2 linked regions of the Macaca fascicularis genome follow. The protein of the gene in region 2 interacts with the protein of the main gene of each other region in a biochemical or structural test. Links are inferred from orthologs where the notes say so. Each region holds a gene or a part of one and is shown on either strand. Other genes may lie near its edges.

What was found.
Region 1: the proteins of UBXN2B (region 2) and PPP1R7 form a complex in vitro, tested with the Homo sapiens proteins (2 studies listed by BioGRID). The link is inferred for Macaca fascicularis from reciprocal best matches to the Homo sapiens genes UBXN2B and PPP1R7.

Annotation. Positions count from the first base shown.
Region 1 is NC_088386.1:137,086,670-137,090,480, reverse strand, and holds part of PPP1R7 (protein phosphatase 1 regulatory subunit 7), read right to left. Parts: intron 2,850-3,811; coding exon 2,794-2,849; intron 2,157-2,793; coding exon 2,091-2,156; intron 1,426-2,090; coding exon 1,295-1,425; intron 301-1,294; coding exon 138-300; intron 1-137. UniProt on the Homo sapiens protein: Regulatory subunit of protein phosphatase 1.
Region 2 is NC_088382.1:68,395,989-68,400,343, reverse strand, and holds the start of UBXN2B (UBX domain-containing protein 2B), read right to left. Parts: upstream 2,824-4,355; 5' UTR 2,791-2,823; coding exon 2,707-2,790; intron 1-2,706. UniProt on the Homo sapiens protein: Adapter protein required for Golgi and endoplasmic reticulum biogenesis. Involved in Golgi and endoplasmic reticulum maintenance during interphase and in their reassembly at the end of mitosis.

The sequences.
Region 1 (3,811 bases), on a different chromosome or scaffold from region 2:
TTCCTTGTTCATGAAAAAAATCACAGCATCCTAAGAAATGCATACTCACTATGCATTCTACATACACCCACTGAGTCCACACACAACCCGCCAGCTGCCTCTCCCTGAATATACTAGTCAGGGCTGTCTGCACCTACCCGGATGCGGTTAGATCCCAGCTCTAGCATCTGTAGTTGATGTAAGTTGCTTAAGTTCTCAATTTTACTGATTTTATTGTTGACCAAGAAGAGTTTTTTCAGTCGTGTCAACTTGTCAACCCCTTCGATGTTTCTCAGCAGATTAAAAGAAATATCTAGAATCCTGAGAACAACCAAAACAGGTTTTTAAAAAAATTACATGAGCATAGGTTGCAGAGAACTCACAATTCAACCACCCTAAAGGTAGCACCCCATTAGGGGACTGCAGTCACTGTGGGACGGGGCAGGGTGGGGTGGGGTGGGGCAGGGGGTGCGGTCTGTGCCCCTGCTGCCGCCTGGCTCACACTGATGCTGTCATGAGGGATTTGGAGGCTGCCCAGGAGCCCGCAGCAAGCCAGAGGCAGCCTACAGGCTCCTGATGCCCTGGATCCCAGGATGGTATTTGAGGCAGAAACTGTTACATTCACACCTGTGCCCATGACAGGACCTTGCACCAGGCTCTGCACACAGAAGGGGCCTGAGAAGTACCGAATTAGAAACAAAACAAGCAAAAATGAATGAGCAACAGAGGGCAGAAATCCAGGTAAAGTTATAACTAGGACCTGGCTCCTTCTTTTTTAATTTTAATTTTTGTAGACAGGGTCTTGTTATGTTGCCCAGGCTATCTCAAACTTCTGGGCTAGTGATCCTCCTAATTTGATCTCCCAAAGCGCTGACATTACAGGTATGCACCACTGCACCTGGCGTAGAACCTGACTCCTTAAATTATAAATGTCACTTTTTTTTTTTTTTAATTTAAAAAAAGAGTATTCAAAAGGCAAGAGGAAATTCTGGATTAACTTTCCCCTCGACCAATCTCAGTATCATCCCTGAATGGAGGCTTTTCCAGAAGTCCCCACTGCAGCCTTCCCATCAAAGGTTTACTTTGCAAGTCAGGATTGTCCAGGAAGCCGAAGACATGCGTGAAGCCAACGTGGCCTCCTGGAGCCCTGAACATGGCAGGCAGAGCCTTGGGATTCAGACGCAGGGCAGGACCCTGTGGCAGAGGCAGCCTCTCAAGGGCCAAGAGCCAGCAGGAGGGGGGCTCTGGAGAGACTGGACACCCCCACCCAGTGGCCTCCCCACCATGCTGTTCTCCTGTGGGTCTCATGACTCACTCCAGCTCTGTTAGCGCCTCCAGATTCTCAATCTTCTTGATCTGGTTGTCGTAAAGATCCAGCTCTCGAAGACTCTGTAGCTCCTCCAGATTCTCAATGCATTTAATTAAATTTTGGCGGAGGCAGAGAGTCTGGGGGATGGGAAAAGGACAATTGACACCGGCACGGGGGAGGCCACGAGAAGGCCTCAGCTGGTACTGGAGGACACAGGACAGGCCCTTCTGGTGGAAGGACGTGTCTTCATTCTCCTGCTGTTTCCTAGAAAGGTGCTGACCTTTGAGAGGTAGGTGGGCAAGGGCACTAAGCTAGAATTCCTCGACACACCTGAGGATGGGCAGGAACCCAAAAGGAAGCAGGAGGCAGGCCCCCCACCAAGCAGGCCTAGTTGAGGAGGGAGGCGTTGGCCTGGGGTATGGGTGTTTGCCACTTCCTGGCAGAACATAAGAACCTATGGTGGGCTCAATTTTGAGAAACAAATTCAAATGAGATGCACGGAGGACCATAAAATTCACTGAGTGCCTAATTGAACACAGGCACAGAACTGAGGCAGGCCAGAGTCACAGGTCACTGGCCGCCTGAGCTCAGGAGAGCCAGCCCCAGGGCTGTGCCTCAAGTCCCTCGACTGCTGTCTCACACTTGCTGTGCTCCCAGTAAAGGCCTGCTACAAGGTGGAGGCAGCCACGCCTCCCACAGGCTGAGACAAAGACCACAACTTGGGACTGATGGCTCGATTCTGGACTTATCCACATCCTATGGGTGATATGGGTCATAGTCCCCTCATAAGAGTCCCTCTCACCTTCACTTTCTTCAGTACCTCAAATCCTTCAATCTTCCCAATGCGACAGTGATTCAAATCAACATCCTGAAACAAAGCGGAAATGTATACTCGGCTATAGCAAAGTGGCTGGAGACCTGTGTCCTAGAAGAGGAGCCATCAGAGGAGGCCTGGGAGTGGGCAGCAGTGGGGGAGGCAGTGCCAGGTGGGTCTGCAGCAGACAGGTGTCGGTGACAAGGTGTGCTGCGGGGGCTCTTTGGTTTAGTGATGACTTAGTTTTATGTAAAACTGGCCCTTAAAATGATTGGTACATGACATCTTTTTCTCATTCCCTAGATCCTGTATGCACAAAACATAAGCTCAGGCTCTTAGGATATGCACCCCATCCCATCACCATCAGAGACACGCTGGGGGCTCAGGAGGCCCAGCGGCCAGGCCAGTCATACACAGCCTGCGGCTGTTGGGACCCTCATGTATAATGTAATCATCAGACCCAGAGAATGTATGAGTCAAAGGCATCTCATCTGCCACACAATCCTCAAGGGTCAAATAGACATGGGGATAACAATCACTGGTAAGAAAAACAACATGAACACAGGACTCTGATCCAACCAAGGGAGGCTCAGGCAACCTCTTTAGGGAAGTAACTTACTAATCTCATACAAGATAACCTGACAGGTGGTCCATCACCATGCTCAAGGCTGGGCTGAGCAGGCAGCATTACCTCTGCATCTCTGTCCAGGTTGATGGTTTCCATGTCCACAGGCAGCTCATGTTCTTCTGAAAAAAATTAGAAAAAGAGGTTTGTTCAGAACCCCATTAACAGGAGGCATTGGTGAAGAGCTGCTTCTGGCCGAGGTCTGGGGCTGTTTGGTGCCCAGATCCAGCTCAAACCCTGAGGAGGAACCAATGAGAAAGTTTGCTGAGGACCTGGAGAATGTGGCAAGGGTGAACCCTGCTCCAACAATAGTGATGTTTTAAGCATTCTGAATTCCCTGAATTCAGATATTGGCAAAGGTCTCCAAACATTCATCTGTGCCTTTGAACTTTCAGAGAAGGGAAATGTGTTTTGAAGCTGTTAGTGGGAAGGAGGGGAGGAAGTAGCTGAGTGCAGGTGAGCAGGGCAGCACTACTGCCTTTCCGTGACTCCCAGAGCCGCAGAACTGGCAGCAGCCTGCCTCCTACGTAGCTTTTCTCTGTTTGTTTGTGGCAATAAACCAGGCCATTAGAATCTAGATCGTGCTGGGCACATCAGATGCTCTAGGATGGGCCTTTTATCACTTTGGAAGGTGGCCCAGCATCTACAAACACTTCCCTCTGCAAAGAGCAAAACAAAACAAAACATAGTTCAACAGATAGGATCAAAGAGGCTCACTGAATAATTTAAACACACTTCTCAATGGGGAGACTGATGAACTCACTCCAGCAGAGAAGCCCATTGGATTTCACGAGGACTCTCCACACCGGAGCCAGCCTCCTCTGTGCGGAGGCAGAGAGAGCTGCTCTCCCTGCTGAGGCGACAGACACCCTGTTAAGCACTTCCTCATTTCATTTCATTGGAACCTACTTCAGCATATGTGCTGAAAAGGACTAAGACACACACAGATGCACACACACACGCATGCACAAAGACACAAAGGCACATATGCACACTACACAGACACACGCATGCACATCAGTGGTATACAGACTCATGCAGACACACAAACACGCACACTCACCCCTTAAAACACTTAAAAAAA
Region 2 (4,355 bases):
TCAATAGGATTAGGGTCCTTGTGGCAACAGTTATCAGGCATTTTAATTCTTCGCCTTTATAGTGCCCACTATTGAGTCCATCCTAACAAATCCAAATCCTAACCCTGGTAATACTGAAGTTATCCCTGTTCTCACTTCCTACCTGTCCAACCTATACAGAAACACATAATATGTGGAGCAAAACTGGGACAGAGTATACAACTAAATACCTTAATGAACTTGTGTGTGGATGGGCTGAGGGACACCAGAAGAGAAAGCAATTCAGAAATACTATTGAACACTGATGAGGTTTTGGGCTTAGTTTTGCCACTAACAATCCCACCCCTAACTTTCCCACTGACCGTTTCCTTATTTGAGGTGGATGAAGGGAGCTATGAAAATCTACTCTGATATGCAAAAAAGAGTTCCAAGTCTGCAGTTTGTAACTTGGGGGCTCCCAAGGCTGGGAAGCCTTTTGGGAAGCAACTATGTAGCTTTTCTCTGGTGGTACCTGGAACACTCCCTCCTGATTTAGATACTGAGAAACCCTACACTGCATGGGGCTAAGATACACTTACTTAGGGGTAATTCTGCTTGTTCCAATTAGTAATATGTTGCCCCTTTACTCACTCTGAAAGACTCTTACAGCAAGCTGTTAGAGAAGTAAGAAATATCTACTGAAAGCTGCACCAACTGGGTAACTCTTAAGATAAGCATGTCTAGATTAAACATAACAAGATAATCTATAAATAATCAATATCCAAGATACCATTTGGGAAGAACATTATTTCTTTTAAACTTTTGATACATACTTTATTTCTTGATATGTCATCCCTTTGGCTGTTTTCAAGTTTCTTTGCAAGTTCTTCACATTCATATTAAGTTCTAAAGGAAAGATTATCAATACTTAGATACTGTACTTGATACACCAAATCACATTCATAAAGAAATCAGTTATCTTCCTACTGTCCTAACCTACCAGAACTAGACAGGAGATGAAAAAAAAAAAAATCCCCATCATAACTTAGGGTGGAAATGAAGGCATTCTCACAATTAGCAACATCTACCAGAGTATCTCCAAACATTAATCATACTTTGATCCACTGGATTAAGTCTGCAAATAATTTGCCAAGAATCAGGTGGTCATTAACCAAGCTATTCTCACTTTTCATATAAAAAGAAGAAATGGATTTAAATTAGAGAAAGGACATTAAGTTACATACTGCATTAACTTTAATGATATTAGAAGTGACTAGCCAGGGAAAGTTACAGCATCTTTCTCCTTTGAGGAAAAAGGAACCAAATATTTGCCCAGCAACAACTTGACCAGGATAATGTAGGAATTTTGCATAGGCCCTTTACAACACTATTTAATCCTTACACCACCACCAGCACCCCGACCCTCCTCAGTTTACAAATGAAGACATATGAGGATCAGACAGGTTAAGACTTTTCTCCTAAGTTCACAAAACTACTAAGTAGCAGGACTAAGAGGCAAACCAAAATTGGTGGGACTACTAACTCTATGCTGCCTCTCAGTGATGTGGGTTTATAATAGGAAAGATGAGGTACACAATAGCCTCCTAACTCTTGATACTGTTTACTACTACTGAACCAACTATGTGAGCTGGAGCTATTCTACATTGAGTTCACCTTCTAAACTTACACTGATCTCTGCAGTCTTCAAATTCTTCGCTTTATGCACTGCTTATTTTGGCACCCAGTCATACTCCATCTTAAAATGTTATGCTAAATGTATTCATATCCTATTTCTCCGAAGAAAACTGTAGGTTTCCAAAAGGTAGACATGTCTTTTACACTTACATACCCATCAACAGAGCTCAGCACCGACTAAGGATTTGATGTCCTTATTTCCACATGCCCAAAGCTCAGCAGTATGTTACAATGGATGGTGGTTTGTTCACATTAGAATGAAGTGTGGTTGTAAAGTAATACAGTAAAACTGTTCTACCAAAATTCTCCTTAGTATCTCCTTACTGATATTTACTTGTTAAATTTTTATCAATAATCTTATAATGAGACACAAAAAAGCCGAAAATGAGAAAAGCGGCGTTAGTATCTGATAACACGGGATTTGGTGCACTAGTATTTAGCTAACTAATACTAGTGTCCTACACGACATTACGAAGTTTTATTTCCCTGTTTCTTGTGTGCAATGTTTTAAAGACCACAGCTTAGACAACTAGGCTGTATGGGCATAGCGTGCATCGCTTTCCTTAACCCCTTTAAAAGAAAAAGCCACCTGATAAAATGGAACCATTTTTATATTTAAGTAAGCAAGTCAGAAATAGCATCCAAGACAAAAAAGAACAAATTACGTATCATTACTGTTCAGGTGATTGCCCACTTCCCTGCGGCCACAGCAACCTTTCCTCTGGAGTAAGTCTCAAGAAGAAAGCATCAACCCGTGAACCAACCAACTGACCTCGCAAAATGTCATTCTAAACGAATAGCTATTTTTACATCGTACTTGGGGTGGAAGGGAGACGAAGCACCAGCGCTGGAGGCTCGGGCACTTGTGTCCGCTACCATCACAGTGCTAAGCGCCGACCTCGGGAGACCGGGCGCCGGAGTCACGATTCCATCCCCAGACTGGGTCAGGGAAAGGCTCCGCCGAGGCCAGAGGCGGCCTCCGACTCGCACCCGCCCGCGCCATCACCAGCCCGCATCCACCGCAGCGCTCCCTCCACGAGCTGCTCGCCTCACCTGCAAATCCCGCGCGCTCGGAGGCCGCGGTCCGGAAGACCTCCTTTCTTTCTCGCTGGGGTCAGGGCCGCCGCCCTCCGCCATCTTCCGCTGGCTAGCGGCGCCCGCTGCGGACGCACCTCCCGCAACTTCCGGAGCTGGTTGCCTGGCAACCGCCGGAGGGGCGGAGACGTGCAAGGTGCGTGCGCGTCCCCGCTACCCGAACCCGCGCCCCCATTTCCGGTGCTGACCCACCCGTCGGGTTTCCCTTTTTCCATTAAAGTAAGTTGGATCGGGGAATTTCTCCGCAGGGAAACATCTATTAAGTTTTGCGTTGCTCCTGCTACCCACCTAAAGGCACTGTAGGCCGCCCTAGAGGGCAGCGTAGACTCGCAAGTTCATTTAGCTCAACAATGAAAACATCCTCTGGATTTTTCATCTGATGAAAAATTGCAACCTCTCCTTCTAGTCTTGGTCAGATTCTCTCATCTTTCGTATCAAGGATTGGATGGTACATCGTCACCACAGCGTGAATTGGCATTGAGAGTGAAAAACACCGTAAAAAGTGCCTGGAATAATTTAAAAAGCAGAACTCTGCCGGGCGCGGTGGCTCATGCCTGTAATCCCAGTACTTTGGGAGGCCGAGGCGGACGAGGTCAGGAGATCGAGACCATCCTGGCCAACGTGGTGAAATCCCGTCACTACTGAAAACAAAAAAAAAAACGGAAATTAGCTGGGCGTGGCGGCGCATGCCTGTAGTCCCAGCTACTTGGGAGGCAGAGGCAGGAGAATCGCTTGAACCAGGGAGTCGGAGGCTGCAGTGAGCGGAGATCGCGCCACTGCACTCCATCCTGGCGACAGTGGGAGACTCCGTCTCAAAAAAAAAAAAAAAAAAAAAAAAAAAAAAAAGCAGAACTCGGGACTATTAAGCCCTCCTCATTCAACTGAGATTGATTTACACTCCGGTCTTCTTATCCTAGGCACTTACTTTTTTTTTTTTTTTTTTTTTGAGACAGAGTCTCGCTCTGTCGCCCAGACTGGAGTGCAGTGGCGTGATTTCGGCTCAATGCAGCCTCCACCTCCCGGGTTCAAGCAATTCTCCTGCCTCAGCCGCCCGAGTAGCTGGGACTACAGGCGTGCGCCGCCACTCCCGGCTAATTTTTGTATTTTTAGTAAAGACCGGGTTTCACCATGTTGGCCAGTATGGTCTTGATCTCCTGACCTCATGATCTGTCCACTTCGGCCTCCCAAAGTGCTGGGATTACAGGCTTGAGCCACCGCGCCCCGCTTCCTAGGCACTTTTATGCCCAAGGGATGCAAAAGTAAAAAGAAACAGTCCCAGTGATTATGAAACTCAGTCAAGGGGGGAAAAGAGAAATGTAAACGGGTAAGATGCAGCGTGCAGTAGAGCTTTGCTGGGAGAGTTACAAAGGAAATGTGAGCCACGTGAGGGGGGTATACTCGGTTGGTGTCCACTGTGTGCACCATGCTAGGTGCTGGAGTTGACAGCTTGCCACCCGAGCTTTGGCATACTGATCGTTTTGATATATAAAGGCATTTGAGGCTGGGCGCGGTGGCTGACGCCTGTAATCCTAGCTTTTTGGGAGGCCGAGGCAGACGGATCACTTGAAGTCAGGAGTTCCAGACCAGCCTGGCCAACGTGGTGAAAC